Saccharomyces cerevisiae S288C: one gene and its partners. The gene in region 1 interacts genetically with each later gene. Each region holds a gene or a part of one and is shown in the gene's direction. Other genes may lie near its edges.

Region 1 (7,158 bases):
TATCTTATGCACATATCCGGGACAAGTTAAAACCACCTTATAATCCACTATCTTTAAATCAGTAATTTTTCTTCTCGAAGCATTTTGTATCATTCTAGAAACGGGTTGATGAGAGGAAGCAGAAACTGTCATTGAAAATACAGAATTGTTTGAAAGCGCCGCTACAAGAACGTCTTCGTACCATACTATATGAGTGACCCAGTCTTTTGAGCCTGCGTCACTTAATCTAATACTACTCTCAAAATAAAATTCTGGAGTATTTTCTGAATTTTTGCGAATGCTAAAGAATTGAAGCTCACCGTCTTCATTACCAACCACGATTGATGATTCAATAGGATTCCATTCAAAACAATGGTAGGTTCTGCTACTTAAGTTTCCTTTTGAATCGAGATTTGTGAGCATTTTGTTATCTTTGAACACAGAAACATTACCATTATTGCTCAATACGGCCATCCAATCGTCTATTGGTGATGGCTTACAGACTCTGGGATAACAAACAGGTTGTGAATTTAATAACCCATTCTGTTGCGCCAGCTCGAAATCCAGTTTATTTTCAAATTCTAGCGGGAATTCTTTCACATGAAATAAATTCTTACTGTTGCAATTAATGTCTTTAGCATATTTTGGCTGCCCAATGCTAATATCAGGAAATGTGGTCAAATATAGAGTACCATCCCGAGCCCATGTTAAATTGTTCTTCCAATCCTCAAATTCCTTTCTATCTACCAATAAGTCCTTTAGAAGCTTCATTATGAATTGAATTGGCTTTCCTAACTCCTAACAAAGTTAGTCATGCTGCTTTTTTCATTATATATAATTCTGTCTAATCATTGTTTAGATCTCATTATTGAGAAAAGTGCGTTGCGCGTAAGAAACAGAATACACTTAAGGTGCGAAATGACGGAAGAAATACGCCATTTAAAGCCTTCCAATACGAAGCAAAACTTCAAAAGCAAATGCTGGGAAGTTGGATTATCTTTGGGAAGGTCTATTTCCTTTTTTATTGAAATAAATCATTCAGCTAATTGCATACCGTGGCTAATGTCACAACAGATGTAAGCAACAATTTAATCTTACATAAATGTGTTGCAGTTGTGGTATTTCGTAATATATACGCAATGATTCTCTCCTATTATTGAACTGCTATGCAGGTATTCGCTACATTGTTTTTCTACAGGCAGTCGTCGACATAAATAACTTGTATAATCATTTAAGCGCATCCCAGTAATTAACTATTACCGAACGATAGAGTAGTCAAGATATTCTCTTCCCATCACTAACATCAAGAGCGCCACTTTTTGGCAATTAAACTAGACTTCTGGATGGCGCTAGCCCATTACCTACAGTACTAAAGATTATTTGCGATATTCTGATAAAGAGCCTTGAACTTCTCGGGTGACCCCCTTAGCGTTTATATAGCGGGAGTGCCAAACGAGAGGAACATCAACAACCAGTATAACAACGTTCTTGTGTAGAAGATAACTAAATTCATCTCCAAAAAGAACAAGAGCAGAACTTCAATTAGTAAAACCATGAATGTGCTATGGATTATAGCACTAGTTGGCCAGCTGATGCGGCTCGTTCAGGGAACAGCTACCTGTGCCATGTATGGGAACTGTGGGAAAAAGTCAGTATTTGGAAACGAATTACCTTGCCCTGTGCCACGTAGTTTTGAACCTCCTGTTCTTTCAGATGAAACAAGCAAACTTTTGGTTGAAGTTTGTGGTGAAGAGTGGAAAGAGGTCCGTTATGCCTGCTGTACTAAAGATCAAGTGGTAGCACTGAGAGATAACCTACAAAAGGCTCAACCTTTAATTTCCTCATGCCCAGCATGCCTCAAGAATTTTAATAACCTGTTCTGTCACTTCACTTGCGCTGCTGACCAAGGAAGGTTTGTCAATATTACCAAGGTAGAAAAGTCAAAAGAAGATAAAGATATTGTTGCGGAATTAGACGTTTTCATGAATTCGTCTTGGGCATCTGAATTTTATGACTCATGTAAGAATATTAAATTTTCTGCTACCAACGGTTATGCGATGGACCTAATCGGAGGTGGTGCTAAAAATTACAGTCAATTCTTGAAGTTTTTGGGGGATGCTAAACCTATGCTTGGTGGATCCCCCTTTCAGATTAATTACAAGTATGATTTAGCAAATGAAGAAAAAGAATGGCAGGAATTTAATGATGAGGTTTATGCTTGCGATGATGCTCAATATAAATGTGCGTGTTCTGATTGTCAAGAGTCTTGCCCCCATTTAAAACCTTTAAAAGATGGCGTGTGTAAAGTTGGCCCTCTGCCATGTTTTTCCCTTTCTGTTCTGATCTTTTACACAATCTGTGCACTTTTTGCATTTATGTGGTATTATCTCTGTAAAAGAAAAAAAAACGGGGCAATGATTGTGGACGACGATATTGTTCCAGAATCAGGTTCCTTAGATGAATCAGAGACGAATGTATTCGAAAGTTTCAATAATGAAACTAACTTTTTTAATGGTAAACTCGCTAACCTATTTACGAAAGTGGGACAATTTTCCGTTGAAAACCCCTACAAGATATTAATAACCACTGTTTTTAGTATCTTTGTATTCAGTTTCATCATATTTCAGTACGCTACTCTTGAAACAGATCCAATTAATTTGTGGGTGAGTAAAAATTCTGAAAAATTCAAAGAAAAAGAGTACTTCGATGATAATTTTGGGCCATTTTACAGGACAGAGCAAATATTTGTTGTGAATGAGACAGGCCCTGTGTTATCATATGAGACACTTCACTGGTGGTTTGACGTTGAAAATTTTATTACGGAAGAGCTACAATCGTCAGAAAATATTGGATACCAAGATCTCTGCTTCAGACCAACAGAAGATTCTACATGCGTAATAGAGTCTTTTACTCAGTATTTTCAGGGGGCCTTACCAAACAAGGATAGCTGGAAAAGGGAACTGCAGGAATGTGGGAAATTTCCTGTAAACTGTCTACCTACTTTCCAGCAACCTCTAAAAACTAATCTTCTTTTCAGTGACGATGATATTCTCAATGCGCATGCGTTTGTTGTAACACTTCTATTGACCAACCACACTCAATCAGCTAATCGCTGGGAAGAAAGATTGGAAGAGTATTTATTGGATTTAAAGGTCCCCGAGGGCCTGAGGATCAGTTTTAATACCGAAATATCCTTGGAAAAAGAGCTTAATAATAATAATGATATCTCGACCGTTGCAATATCATACCTGATGATGTTTTTATATGCTACATGGGCCTTGAGGAGAAAGGATGGGAAAACTAGGTTGTTACTTGGAATATCTGGTTTACTCATAGTTTTGGCTTCTATTGTTTGTGCAGCCGGATTTTTAACTCTTTTTGGTTTGAAGTCGACATTGATCATAGCAGAAGTAATACCGTTTCTAATTTTAGCAATAGGAATAGATAATATTTTCTTGATTACACATGAGTATGATAGAAATTGCGAGCAAAAACCGGAGTATTCAATTGATCAAAAAATAATAAGCGCTATCGGGAGAATGTCTCCTTCCATTTTAATGTCATTGCTATGTCAAACCGGATGCTTCTTGATAGCTGCATTTGTTACAATGCCAGCTGTCCATAATTTTGCTATATATTCCACAGTTTCTGTTATATTCAACGGAGTATTACAGCTAACAGCGTATGTGTCCATTTTGTCTCTCTACGAAAAGAGATCCAATTATAAACAAATTACCGGAAATGAAGAAACTAAGGAATCATTTTTGAAAACGTTTTATTTTAAGATGTTAACGCAAAAGAGGCTCATAATCATTATCTTCTCGGCTTGGTTTTTCACATCTCTGGTTTTCTTACCAGAAATTCAATTTGGGCTAGATCAAACATTGGCTGTTCCACAGGATTCCTACCTGGTTGACTATTTTAAGGATGTTTATAGCTTCCTAAACGTAGGACCACCGGTTTACATGGTCGTGAAGAATTTAGATTTGACTAAAAGACAAAACCAACAGAAAATATGTGGTAAATTTACAACTTGCGAAAGAGACTCATTAGCTAATGTACTGGAGCAAGAAAGACACAGGTCAACAATTACGGAGCCATTGGCTAATTGGCTGGACGATTATTTCATGTTTTTAAATCCTCAAAACGACCAGTGTTGTAGATTAAAGAAGGGAACAGATGAGGTTTGTCCTCCCTCTTTTCCAAGTAGACGTTGTGAAACTTGTTTCCAGCAGGGTTCTTGGAATTACAACATGTCAGGGTTTCCTGAGGGCAAGGACTTCATGGAATACCTAAGCATATGGATTAATGCGCCTAGTGACCCCTGCCCTCTAGGTGGTCGTGCGCCATATTCGACTGCGTTAGTTTATAATGAAACGAGTGTGTCTGCGTCAGTTTTCAGAACAGCTCATCATCCTTTGAGATCCCAAAAGGACTTTATCCAGGCGTATAGTGATGGAGTTAGGATATCAAGTTCTTTCCCCGAACTAGATATGTTTGCATACTCGCCGTTTTACATTTTTTTTGTTCAATATCAAACTTTGGGACCATTGACGTTGAAGCTAATAGGGAGTGCCATTATCCTAATTTTTTTCATTTCATCTGTTTTCTTGCAGAATATACGCAGCTCATTCTTACTGGCTTTGGTCGTTACCATGATTATCGTAGATATTGGTGCTTTGATGGCCCTACTAGGTATCTCACTCAACGCTGTCAGTTTAGTCAATTTAATTATTTGTGTCGGTTTGGGTGTCGAGTTTTGTGTTCATATTGTTAGATCATTTACAGTGGTCCCCAGTGAAACCAAGAAAGACGCAAACTCAAGAGTTCTCTATTCCTTGAATACCATAGGTGAGTCCGTCATCAAAGGTATAACTCTAACCAAATTCATTGGAGTTTGTGTACTTGCATTCGCCCAATCGAAAATATTTGATGTATTTTACTTTAGAATGTGGTTTACACTAATCATTGTAGCAGCATTGCATGCTCTCCTATTTTTACCTGCTTTACTTTCATTGTTTGGTGGTGAAAGCTATAGGGACGATTCCATCGAAGCAGAAGATTAGCCATAGCAGATTATACTATATTTTACGTAGTGAAAAAATAGGTAAAAATTCGTTAATTATTCTGATGCCACACCAGAAAATCTGTGGGAAAATTTTTCGAGTCAGAAATGATAACACTAACACAGGCTTCGTTGTTATCGTGCATTGAAGTTAGATACTTCTACTATATTTAATCTTTAATAGTGTCATAAAAGTATTATTGGTTTCGGGCGAAAATCGTCATTTTCGCACACAGAACTTCAAAAGAGGAAAGGCCAAAAGAACTAAAACCGATTACTTCGGGGTGATTTTGTTCTGGCATCTTCTGGCACTCTTGGGCATCCTTAGCCATTTAGTATATTTATGAATACATTAAGGTGTTTGACACAAGCACTATCCAAAAGTGGGAGAGAAGCTCCAAAACTATATCAGAAAGTAATATTTCCAGGCCTGTTCAGAGAGGGTATACCAATTGCAAATGTCAAGAAAGTTGATGAAAAAATAATAGATAGCCCAACATCAACGTCAGTTAATGGAGAGGCAAAAAAAATAGTACGGCATGGTGTGAAGTATGAAAGGGAGCAAGTTAAGGAATACCTTTCAAGCCTGCCGACTTTAACGCTTTCTAGGAAACAAATTAGGGATGACTATGATGAGGAACGTGCAAAACGAATGTATATGTTCTCTAAACAAACGAATTCCTCGAATAAATTCCAGAAACTTCTTACAGCAAAGTCTCAAGAGTTTACTAGAGAACTATTGACGCTACTGATAGATTGCACATCGAATGAGAAGAATTCAGGGCCAGAACGCTTCACTCGTAAGTTTCTTAAGTTTAGTAATGACGAGATCCCTCCTCTCCCTGACTTTTCAAAGAACCCTCAATTGTTTGAAAATTATATTGGAATACTAAGTCATACAAAGTTCAATTTTCGTTCATCTTCCAAACTAAATGGTATTGTGCGTAAGATGCTGCGGCACCTACTTCATCCAACCAATAAGACGACTCTGCCGTTGCGTTCTGCTCAAGTTTATAATGACTCAATATACTTTTTCAGTGAGCACTTCGACTTTGCGTCTTGTAGAGAAATATTTGCACAAATGAAGGCTGAGGGGACTAAACCAAATACAATCACTTTTAATCTTTTACTGCGTAATGTAGTGAAAAACTCGCATATTAGAAAAACGAAGCACCCTGACGATGAGGTCCTTTTTTATCTTAGAAGTATGCGTAATCATGGAGTTTTTGCAGATGTAATAACTTGGACGACATGTTATAACTTTCTTCGTGATGAAGTTTCGAGACAATTGTACATTGTTCAAATGGGTGAACATTTAGGAAATTTTAACGTAAATTTTGTTTATACTGTGCTAAGGAACGGAGATTATAGAGCAGAGGACTGTTTAAAAGTTTTAGCAGCAAATTCACTACCGATTTCCCGTAAGACGTTCTATCTGTGCATAGAACGACTACTAAACGAGGAACAACTTGAAACCGCATCTAAATTACTTGACTATGGTTTTCAGCACTTGAAAAGTAATTTTAAGTTGGACTCGGAGGCAATGAATCATTTCATGCGGGTATTTGCTAATAAGGGAAGAAGTGATTTGGCATTCCTTTGCTATAATACTTGTCGTAAGATTTACAAAATTAAACCTGATTCTCAGACGTTCGAAATGTTATTTAAAGCGTTAGTTAGGAATGGCAACACCAAGAATTTTGGGGCAGTCCTACAGTATATCAAAGACTTAAAGGTTAGTGAAGGATTTGGATTGCGGACAAGTTATTGGAGAACCAAAGCAGACTCAATTTTCAAATTTGGTAGTCCTAATACGCTATCAGAAAAGTCAATTGAAAAAGCAAGAAAATTGTTGGGCAACCTGATTGCTTCCGAGGGTGAGTTCTCTTGGAAAATTTGGAAAGAAAGTGATTCTTCACAAAAAAAAATACTACGTTTTTTGGGTTGTATCCCCACTACTTTACGCTGCACCAATACAGCACAAGATCATCAGAAGCCCACAAACCTACCCTCAAACATTTCCCAGAAAAAAAGAGAATATCGAAATCGGGTTAAAGCAATAGCCACAAAGGCTGCTTTGGAAAAAAGAATGGCGTATATCAAAGACAATGATG
Region 2 (5,752 bases), on another chromosome or scaffold:
ACGCTTACATTAGTTCAGTTTGTCAAGGTTATGCTATTACTTGTACTTATTTCTTGCTATTGTTAGTGGCTCCCCACATTGACGTATTTTCACGTGATGCGCCTCACTGCGGAAGGCGCCACACATTGCCTGCAAAAAATTGTGGATGCACTCATTTGATAGTAAACTAAGTCATGTTAATCGTTTGGATTTGGCACACACCCACAAATATACACATTACATATATATATATATTCAAAATACAGCTGCGTCCAATAGATGAGCTTCCGCTTCGTTGTACAACCTACCTGCTATCTTGTTCACGGATATTTCTTGCTTTTAATAAACAAAAGTAACTCTAGAACAGTCAAGTCTTCGATAATTTTTTTAGTCACAGGGTCCGTCTAAAGTTTCTCTTTATTTGGAATAATAGAAAAGAAAGAAAAAAACGTAGTATAAAAGGAATGTCGCATACTTTAAAATCGAAAACGCTCCAAGAGCTGGACATTGAGGAGATTAAGGAAACTAACCCATTGCTCAAACTAGTTCAAGGGCAGAGGATTGTTCAAGTTCCGGAACTAGTGCTTGAGTCTGGCGTGGTCATAAATAATTTCCCTATTGCTTATAAGACGTGGGGTACACTGAATGAAGCTGGTGATAATGTTCTGGTAATTTGTCATGCCTTGACTGGGTCCGCAGATGTTGCTGACTGGTGGGGCCCTCTTCTGGGTAACGACTTAGCATTCGACCCATCAAGGTTTTTTATCATATGTTTAAACTCTATGGGCTCTCCATATGGGTCTTTTTCGCCATTAACGATAAATGAGGAGACGGGCGTTAGATATGGACCCGAATTCCCATTATGTACTGTGCGCGATGACGTTAGAGCTCACAGAATTGTTCTGGATTCTCTGGGAGTAAAGTCAATAGCCTGTGTTATTGGTGGCTCTATGGGGGGGATGCTGAGTTTGGAATGGGCTGCCATGTATGGTAAGGAATATGTGAAGAATATGGTTGCTCTGGCGACATCAGCAAGACATTCTGCCTGGTGCATATCGTGGTCTGAGGCTCAAAGACAATCGATTTACTCAGATCCCAACTACTTGGACGGGTACTATCCGGTAGAGGAGCAACCTGTGGCCGGACTATCGGCTGCACGTATGTCTGCATTGTTGACGTACAGGACAAGAAACAGTTTCGAGAACAAATTCTCCAGAAGATCTCCTTCAATAGCACAACAACAAAAAGCTCAAAGGGAGGAGACACGCAAACCATCTACTGTCAGCGAACACTCCCTACAAATCCACAATGATGGGTATAAAACAAAAGCCAGCACTGCCATCGCTGGCATTTCTGGGCAAAAAGGTCAAAGCGTGGTGTCCACCGCATCTTCTTCGGATTCATTGAATTCTTCAACATCGATGACTTCGGTAAGTTCTGTAACGGGTGAAGTGAAGGACATAAAGCCTGCGCAGACGTATTTTTCTGCACAAAGTTACTTGAGGTACCAGGGCACAAAGTTCATCAATAGGTTCGACGCCAATTGTTACATTGCCATCACACGTAAACTGGATACGCACGATTTGGCAAGAGACAGAGTAGATGACATCACTGAGGTCCTTTCTACCATCCAACAACCATCCCTGATCATCGGTATCCAATCTGATGGACTGTTCACATATTCAGAACAAGAATTTTTGGCTGAGCACATACCGAAGTCGCAATTAGAAAAAATTGAATCTCCCGAAGGCCACGATGCCTTCCTATTGGAGTTTAAGCTGATAAACAAACTGATAGTACAATTTTTAAAAACCAACTGCAAGGCCATTACCGATGCCGCTCCAAGAGCTTGGGGAGGTGACGTTGGTAACGATGAAACGAAGACGTCTGTCTTTGGTGAGGCCGAAGAAGTTACCAACTGGTAGGGATAGATACCACACATACCTCAGGCATAACATAGATAAACCAGTACATGTATATCTATATCTATATTTATATATAGACAAACAGCATTAATTAACTATAACAAAGTTTCTAGTAACACTAACGGTAGTAGTAGATTTCTCTTTTTTGTCCTCGTTGTTAAAAAACGAAAGAAGAATGAAAAAAAAAAAAAAAAACAGAAGAGTAATAGCTAGTGCTTTAGAGCTTTCCACATTTTGACCGCACTTGTAGACAGCCACTCTTGCGTTGCCACTCGACATTACATGAACAACTGTTCTTCTCCCTGTAGCCTTAGCTTACTTCAAACTTTTTTCGTTTAGCGGGGAAAATACATCACTGAAGTAATTTTTAGATCACTCGTGGCGTAAAAGTAAGCATATCGCAATAATCATACTCATATCCTTTATCATCCAAAAAGTAGTAATAGCGCTGGCAAGGCATGTCGAATGAGAGCACACGAGTTACCGTTAGTCGCGGTTGTACAGCCTCCGACGAGTGTGCGCAAGCATTGGAACGGACAAACGATGAGCTAGACAGAGAATCATCGGTATCAGAAAGTAGAAGTGATGAAGAGAGCCACGAGAAGTTATCCCGACGTCGATTCCCGACGCTAGGTATAGGCATATGGCTCGATTTGAAGGACAGAATACCGTATTACAAGTCAGATTGGGTAGATGCGTTTAATTACAGAGTTATTCCCTCTATTGTTGACACCTACTTTAATAACCTGCTACCTGCAATAGCCTTTGCGCAAGATATGTTTGATAGGACTGATAATTCCTATGGTGTGAACGAAGTACTTCTATCCAGTGCAATGGCTGGAATTGTTTTTGGAGTTCTTGGTGGACAGCCCTTATGTATAGTGGGTGTTACTGGCCCCATCTCTATTTTTAATTATACGGTCTACGAAATTATAAAGCCTTTGAATACCAGCTATTTTGGCTTCATGTTTTGGATTTGTATGTGGTCTATGATTTTTCATTTAGTTTTAGCATTTACGAACGCCGTTTGCCTCTTGCAATACGTGACTACGTTCCCATGTGACATATTTGGATTATTTATTAATGTGGTCTACATTCAAAAAGGAATACAAATTTTAACAAGACAGTTCAGTGCTAAATCAGGGGAGAAATCAGTACAAGACGGATTTGCTAGTGTCGTGGTGGCGCTGGTTATGACTGCGTTTGGTCTTTTCTTTAAATTATTTCATTATTACCCCCTCTTTTCTCATAGGATCAGAACATTCATATCTGATTATTCAACTGCGCTTTCAGTGCTATTCTGGTCATCATTTACACATTTTGGTGGCTACTTGCATGATGTCAAATTTAAAAAATTGCCTATTACGAAAGCTTTTTTTCCTACTTCCAAAGTCAATAGGCCTCAAAATACTTGGCTGGCATATGAACCGATTCCTGTTAAAGACGTCTTTATTGCCCTACCATTTGGTATATTTTTAACAATCTTGTTTTACTTTGATCATAACGTATCGTCGCTAATGGCACAAAGGCATCAGTATAAGCTGAAAAAACCATCCTCTTTTCATTACGATTTCGCACTATTGGGACTTACCACTTGCATCAGCGGGGTTCTAGGAATCCCGGCGCCCAATGGTTTGATTCCTCAAGCACCATTGCACACAGAGACACTGCTAGTTAGGGATTCAAACCAAAAGGTTATCAGTTGCGTAGAGCAAAGATTTACAAATACGTTTCAGGGCCTGATGATTCTAGGGACAATGACAAGACCGTTATTGGTATGCTTAGGAGAAATCCCTCAGGCAGTACTTTCCGGATTGTTTTTCATTATGGGCATCAATGGCCTAATGACAAATAGTATTATACAACGGTTGGTTTTCCTGTTTTCAGACCCTAACAGAAGAGATAATACTTCACCTTTAATGAAAGTATCCAAGAAGTCAATGCTGATATTTCTTTCCTTTAGCCTGACGGGGTTTGCTGGTGAATTTGCTATCACAAATACTATAGCGGCCATCGGCTTTCCCTTAGTATTGCTTTTAAGTGTGTTAGTTTCTTTCTCGTTTGCTTATATTTTCCCGACTGAAGAATTAAAGATTCTCGATACTAATGTGGCACAAAAATTTACCATTAAAAATTTGTTATTGGAAAATATTCGTGATGCAAAGTTCTGTGATAAGCATGAAGACTAAACGCAGTTAGGATGTACAAAAGTCAACCACTTGTAATATATAGAAATTAATTGCATATATAAGAAGTATAATAATATTATCGCATTTCGAAAGGAAGAATAAAACTATGGATCTTGTAGTCAAACTAATGGCTTAGATTCATTGGGCCAGTCTTCATTTTGTAATTCCGGAACAATAGTCAAGACTTTCCCGGTCAATATCACATTCTTTGCATTTTCAACGACCAGTTCTTCCATTTTCTTTCTTGTTTCTACACTATGTGTGCCCATATGAGGCAGTCCTAAGACTTGGGACATCGATAATAACTCTTTGGATATTTTTGGCTCATATTCGAAAACGTCCAAACCAGCACTTCTAATCTTTCCAGAACGCAAAGCATCAGTCATGGCTTGTTCGTCTATCACGGCACCACGCGCTGTGTTAACAATAACTACACCATCTTTCATTTTTTCAATAGTCTCTGCATTGATTAGATGGTGAGTATTGTGGTTCAGTGGGACGTTTACAGATACTATATCAGAACGCTTCAAAAACTCCTCGAATCCTACATATTCACAACCATGCTCTTCTTCGGAAGGAAGCTGGTGTCTGTTATGATATATGAAATTCTCGAACCCAAACGGCTTCAATCTCTCTAAAATACAACGACCAATCCTACCTAGACCCAGTATACCAACTGTTTTCCCTTCAGGGTCGTATCCAAAGGGAGAACCACATGCGGGTCCTGCCTCCGGCCAGTTTCCCTCGATCAACCTTCTGTTACCAATACCGAAGTTTCTTAGGGCACCCAATAGCAAAAATACATGCGTATCAGCGGTAGCATTGCTAACTAAATCAGGAACATTGGCAACCTGGATGTGCCTTTTCTTGAATGGCTCAACATCAATTTGGTCATAACCAGCACCAGTATGACATACAGCCACTACGGAGGAGGGCAAAGCAAGAGCAAGCTCTTCATCAAATCTACCGGTGTTTTTCACACTCCTTGCTGTTCTAGTAATGACTTGTACTTGGGAGAGCTTATTTTGTGGGTCTTTTACCTCCCGCAAAAACTGTTCTCTAGTGGTGGATTCAGGGATGGTAATTACATCCGCAATCTTTTCCAATTCCCCCCAGGCTTGGTCACCAAAGGCATCCTTTCCTAATTTCAAAACAATTGGTTTCTTACTCATATTCTCTTCTCCTCTTCTTGCTCGTTTATGTATTGTTAATACTTCGGTATTGTAGAGCAATAATCATGTAGAAGGATTTCCCTAACGTAACAACAAGGCCAATAGAATTTACTTTTTATATGCTCGAGATTAGTGAAAAATGGGATAAGATTGCCTTGTTATCCCCGCCCCCTGCCAAGACTTTTGCAGATTTTAAGTCCGCTCTCGGTCCTACGTAATAAATGCCTGGAGAAGCTCTAGAGCTAATTGCGTCGTCCTTCAGGAATTCTGAAGACCACAGCAACGCAATCAGATGGCGGAACCACATTATGAAGCCAAGTGAGGTGTATACAGAGTTATACGTACTTTTCATCCATCCCCGCTCGGTTTCACCGTTCATAACGCTGGTTTTCACTGCCACTTCTCATATCAAGTCAGCGAAATAACCAGTAGTTGTCCTGTATATAGGCATCCCTACCGTTTGCTTTAGGAAGCTGTTCTGTGTTAC
Region 3 (5,192 bases), on another chromosome or scaffold:
ATACAGATCCTCACGTTCTTGCACGATTTGTTCATCACTCATTCCCTGCAGAACTTTAATATTTTCATTATGGATAGATTTTGCCTCGGATAGTGGGGCGTCTGTACTCGTTTGTTGCTTTTCAGCATCCTTGCCACTAGTTTTTTTCTTTTGGGCTCTTTTTTCTCTTAGTCTTTCCTTCCAAGATGATATTTTCTTGGGTTTGTACAACTCGGGAAATCCCGTTCCACAGTTGTTGGTACTAAGAGTGCCATTGTCATTACTTTCAACAGAGTCAGATGTATCTTTCTCCACTATATCGCCCAGTAAGTCCATTACGATGGTGGCAGAGTGATTTATCTTCTTTGAATGAGGGAAAATGAATATATTAAACTATAGATTTACTTAGCCGACAGCGATGAGATGGCTTGCCATTACATTATTATTCATTTCAGGTACATAGAAGTACCGAAAAATGAAAAAGAAAAAATAAAATAGAAAAAAAAGAAAGAAATGAAAAAAAAAGGGTAGCAAAAGAGCCACACATCACTTATTACGAAATTCTGCGGAGGAGGATAACGTAGAAAGAGTCACTCATGCTAAACTACCATAGTTATCATCCGAGGAGGAGAGGTGTGAGTACCGGGCCTCGTTCTCCTCATATGGATGACAGCTGATCACGTACAAAGCATGGATCAGACCAGGGAAAAACCCTAGTAAAAATAACAGAAAGTTAATGAGCAGATCCTTGGTAAAAAAACCTCTTTTTAGCCAGACTGCTAAGGGAGGAATGAAAATTGCAATAAAAACTAAAAACCAGTCGCGGGCGTGCATAGTGTAATTCTAAAGTTGTATGTTCTCTAATACGATGACTGGTACTTGCAAAATGCTTATTCGAGGACTAACTAAGATCGATCAGTAAAGATCTCTTGTCAATCAAACCTTTCTCGCACAATAGGAGACAGGAAAAGGGGAAAGAAAGTCGAAAAAGTGCGGGTTCCGGTACATGGATTATATCGCCCCGGGACAATGCGCGTTGCCCCTCACCGGCCCGGAATATACGCGTGGTTGCGCTCTTTCGTTACCCGCGACTGTTTTGGCGCCCCATTCATGCTACGCGGATCTGGACCTGCTTATTTCCCGAGAATACGTCCCGAAAAAGTAATGCAGTTTCCGAAATGGGCGCGGTAAGGGCCTAGGCCCAACGTTGGGCCTTTTTCAGTTCCAAAAAAACGACTCGTTGGGAGCCGTGCGGTCCCGTCTTCGGGCGTGATTGGCCGCTTTGGCCGCTTCTGGGCGTAGGACGCCAAAGTTTATTTCCAAAATAGCGAAGACCAGAGCCACGCCTTTTCTTTTTGCAAGCGGAATATCCGCTTGAGAAATGAGAAAAAGAAAGCAGAAAAAAAATCATCGCTTTTTTCACGTTTGTTACATGAGATATGGTGCTGTGTGTCATCGCGGTGGTTTTCCTGGCTTTTCTCCTCATATATAAGGAACTCGAGAAATTCTTGATTTTCTTTTCCATCTTCTCCTACTGTATTATTTACTTTATTAGTTAATATTGTTTTTGATTTTAGAGGAAAATCATCATTAAACATAAGTTTCAATCAACACTAATCATCAACAAAACAATGCAATTCAAGACCATCGTCGCTGCCTTCGCTACTGTTGCCGCTGTCCAAGCTGCTAACGTTTCTACCAATGGTTCCAACCGTACCAACGGTTCCAACACCACCAGCACCAAGATCTCCACTGGTGCTGCTGCTTCCAACGCTTTGGGTGCTGGTGTCTTCGGTGCTGCCGTCGCTGCCGGTGTCGCTTTCTTATTCTAAGTTCTTTAATTTTGAGTTTAGAGACATTATACTCCTATAATATCGAAAAAATTTTTTTATTATCGCTACACAATCAAGTTTTTATGTGCTTTTTTAATAATATTATTATAGAACAAGAAGAAAGACCGCTCTTTCCTTGAAGGGACCAAAGAAGGAAAAAAAATATGTTGGAAGGGTTTTATATGATCTTTTCATGTTCGTTCACTTGTAATGGAATATTAGTTAGAAGATGTAAATAACTTATCTGTTTATTTTTATTTCCTCTCTATAATTATTACCTGTATTAATTCATTATCTAATATAAAATCTAATCTAATAATAGAATTTTCTGATGTTTATCTTTTTTTTTGTCGTATTCTCGGCGAATTAATCGCGGAAAATTTCATATCGAATTTTAAAGGAATGTCATTTTGAACGCTAAAGTATTATTTATTCTCGTCCGATGTTGGTTTTTTTTCCTATCGCTGTCGTTATAATAGTACTTGACGAAGAGAGAAGAAAAGTAAAAATTTGAGCGAAAAAGAGGATAAAAATCACATTGAGGCAGAGTGGTTAAGGTAGCTGTACCAGTCATTTTGAATACATTTTTCTGGATGTTCCATCAATAATGGATTTTTATACTACTGATATCAACAAAAATGTTGTGCCTTTGTTCAGTAAAGGAACAGTAGCAAGAACAGCATCAAAAGCACAGTATCCATCATGGTGCAACAACGCGTTAAAGTTAACTAATATTCTTCTTAAATCTCTTCGATGTAAATTTCAAACGAACCGCTGCGAGGATGATCGAGGTTTTGAGGTATATTGTGTTATTTTAAAAAGCATCGCTTTATTAATGGCCGCGAAAGAATCATTGATATTACTACAAATACCTCCTTCTTTACCATCAGGATTTCCATTTCGTTCACCCCAACTGTCATTTACATATTTATCAACCCGTCTTAGTGGGAGCCAACACAAATCTACGCATTCTCATCACATCAATCATCAAACTCATCCCATTCATAGTAGCAGTAGCAACAGTAATAGTAATAACCGTATTCCTACAAAAACAGATTCCTCCAAACAGCATACACAGCATTTCTCTTTTGCTAATGCGGGAGCCTCCAATAGAGACGAACTGCTATCAATCGTGCGCAAAATTGATAAATCTAATTTGAAGTGTTGTGACTGCGGTAGCACCGCAACAGTAGAATGGGTGTCAATCAATTTATTGTGTATATTGTGTATCAAATGTTCGGGCGTTCATCGATCTCTGGGTTCACATATCTCCAAAATTAGATCTTTAACGCTGGATAATTTCACCTCGTTAGAGTTGATGCATCTTTTACAAAATAATGTTTCCAATAGTAATGTTAATGCCATTTATGAAAGCAATCTCAGGAACTTTCCAGTTAAAAAAATAACTGCAAATTCTGATGACTCGGAAAGATCCAAATTCATTATTGATAAGTATCAATTTAAAAAGTTTGTTATCGACAGCAACCAAGGCAGAGAGGCTTCTTTGAAGTCTTTAATTAAAGCTATCCATTTAGATAGTGTTTTCATGATGCAAAGAGCCATCGCCCAAAGTAAATATTCCCTAAGAGAATTGACGGCAAGCGAAAAAGAGCAGAATGATCTAAACCATTCTTCCATTTTTCAATATTCCCTAAAGCACTATGAAATTGTTGATGGAACGCCCATTTTTTTTATTACAGAATTTTTATTGTGCAATGGTATTCATATAGATAATTTACCGAAGATTACTACGAATTGGTCTCCAAAGGTTTTAGAATATTGGGAAACTAAGTTGGAGATGTACGGAACATTCCAAGCTGTAAATACTTCTCGTCCAAGATCAGGGCCGCATTTAAATATGCATTCAAATGTAGATTCAGCTTCGTCCTACAATAAGAAACACGATTTGAGAGTTAACATACCTGAAAGAAGTGCCTCAGCAAGTAAAAGGTGGAGTTTGAGCTCCATTCCTAAGTCTTCTCAAAATTTGATGTCCCCAACAAACTTATTAACAATGCATAAGTCTTTAAAATTGGCCAAAAAGGACAAAAAATAACATATATGATAATTTAACTGTATTTTTTTCCCTTTTCTAATACTTTTTCCTCAAGTTATATTTCGGAGCTGTCCCAGGTTCGGAACAATGCGGCATCAGGGATAAAAAAAAATGACACATAAAAACGAAAAAGACACAAATTCCATTTTTTTTTTTTGACGCGAAAGAATGACACTACTTTCTTCTATTGTAACCATTTCTAACATCGATATTTTACTTGTTAGTTCAGATATATACTAAAGAGTCACTTAATATACTGTTTTTGTTTATTATCTTGGTTCCAACTGCTTCATTTAATATTTCCTATCCAAAAAAAGCCAGCTAATTCTCTTCTTTTTTTTTCTTATTTTGCCATTTTCAATATTATCGATTTAGTGAACACCTGGCTAGTCAGTTGTCTTAGCAAACATTTCTCAAAAGAAAGCAAACCAGCATTTGCTTTTTAAATTTAGTTTTTTTACTAGCTAATTCATTTACTAAACAACAAAAGAAAATAGCACAAAATGGAAAGCAAAGAAATATCAATTAGGTCAAGAACCCCTCCATCGAAGCTATATTCCATCCAATCATGTATTGGCAGAGGTAACTTTGGTGATGTGTATAAAGCAGTGGATAGAGTTACGCAAGAAATTGTGGCAATTAAGGTGGTCAACCTGGAGCATTCCGACGAAGACATTGAACTGTTAGCACAGGAAATTTTTTTTCTGGCGGAATTGAAATCTCCTCTTATTACAAACTATATTGCAACAATGTTAGAAGATGTCTCTATGTGGATTGTCATGGAATATTGCGGCGGTGGATCATGTTCAGATTTACTGAAGCGAAGTTACGTCAACGGTTTGCCTGAAGAAAAAGTTTCCTTCATTATTCATGAAGTCACCTTGGGTTTGAAATACCTGCATGAGCAAAGGAAAATTCATCGTGATATCAAAGCAGCTAATATTTTACTAAATGAAGAAGGTATGGTTAAGTTGGGTGATTTCGGAGTAAGTGGCCACATTCGTTCCACTTTGAAAAGGGACACTTTTGTAGGAACGCCGTATTGGATGGCTCCGGAAGTTGTTTGCTGCGAAGTTGATGGGTATAATGAGAAAGCAGATATATGGTCCTTGGGTATCACCACCTATGAGTTACTCAAGGGCTTACCCCCATTATCTAAATATGATCCTATGAAAGTTATGACTAACTTACCAAAAAGGAAGCCTCCAAAATTACAAGGTCCCTTTTCGGATGCAGCAAAGGATTTCGTAGCTGGTTGTCTTGTTAAAACACCTGCTGATCGGCCATCGGCATATAACTTGTTATCATTTGAATTTGTTAAGAAT

Evidence for each region.
Region 2: of NCR1 (region 1) and BOR1, a mutation in one rescues a mutant of the other (synthetic rescue), as found in Saccharomyces cerevisiae (one study listed by BioGRID).
Region 3: mutations in NCR1 (region 1) and AGE1 together harm fitness more than expected from each alone (negative genetic interaction), as found in Saccharomyces cerevisiae (2 studies listed by BioGRID).

Annotation. Positions count from the first base shown.
Region 1 is NC_001148.4:543,099-550,256, forward strand, and holds NCR1 (sphingolipid transporter), read left to right. Parts: upstream 1-1,532; coding exon 1,533-5,045; downstream 5,046-7,158. Other genes in the region: transcription factor TFIIIC subunit TFC8, read right to left, coding at 1-750; AEP3 (Aep3p), read left to right, coding at 5,388-7,158. UniProt on the Saccharomyces cerevisiae protein: Involved in sphingolipid trafficking. May recycle sphingolipids between cellular membranous compartments.
Region 2 is NC_001146.8:116,906-122,657, forward strand, and holds BOR1 (Bor1p), read left to right. Parts: upstream 1-2,362; coding exon 2,363-4,093; downstream 4,094-5,752. Other genes in the region: MET2 (homoserine O-acetyltransferase), read left to right, coding at 444-1,904; GOR1 (glyoxylate reductase), read right to left, coding at 4,213-5,265. UniProt on the Saccharomyces cerevisiae protein: Functions in boric acid/borate export across the plasma membrane, and thereby protects yeast cells from boron toxicity. Involved in the trafficking of proteins to the vacuole.
Region 3 is NC_001136.10:1,486,217-1,491,408, reverse strand, and holds AGE1 (GTPase-activating protein AGE1), read left to right. Parts: upstream 1-2,418; coding exon 2,419-3,867; downstream 3,868-5,192. Other genes in the region: RBA50 (Rba50p), read right to left, coding at 1-315; SNA2 (Sna2p), read right to left, coding at 574-813; API2 (Api2p), read right to left, coding at 1,175-1,504; YDR524C-B (uncharacterized protein), read left to right, coding at 1,611-1,811; YDR524W-C (uncharacterized protein), read right to left, coding at 1,917-2,006; putative serine/threonine protein kinase SPS1, read left to right, coding at 4,371-5,192. UniProt on the Saccharomyces cerevisiae protein: GTPase-activating protein (GAP) for the ADP ribosylation factors ARF1 and ARF2. May be involved in the endocytic pathway.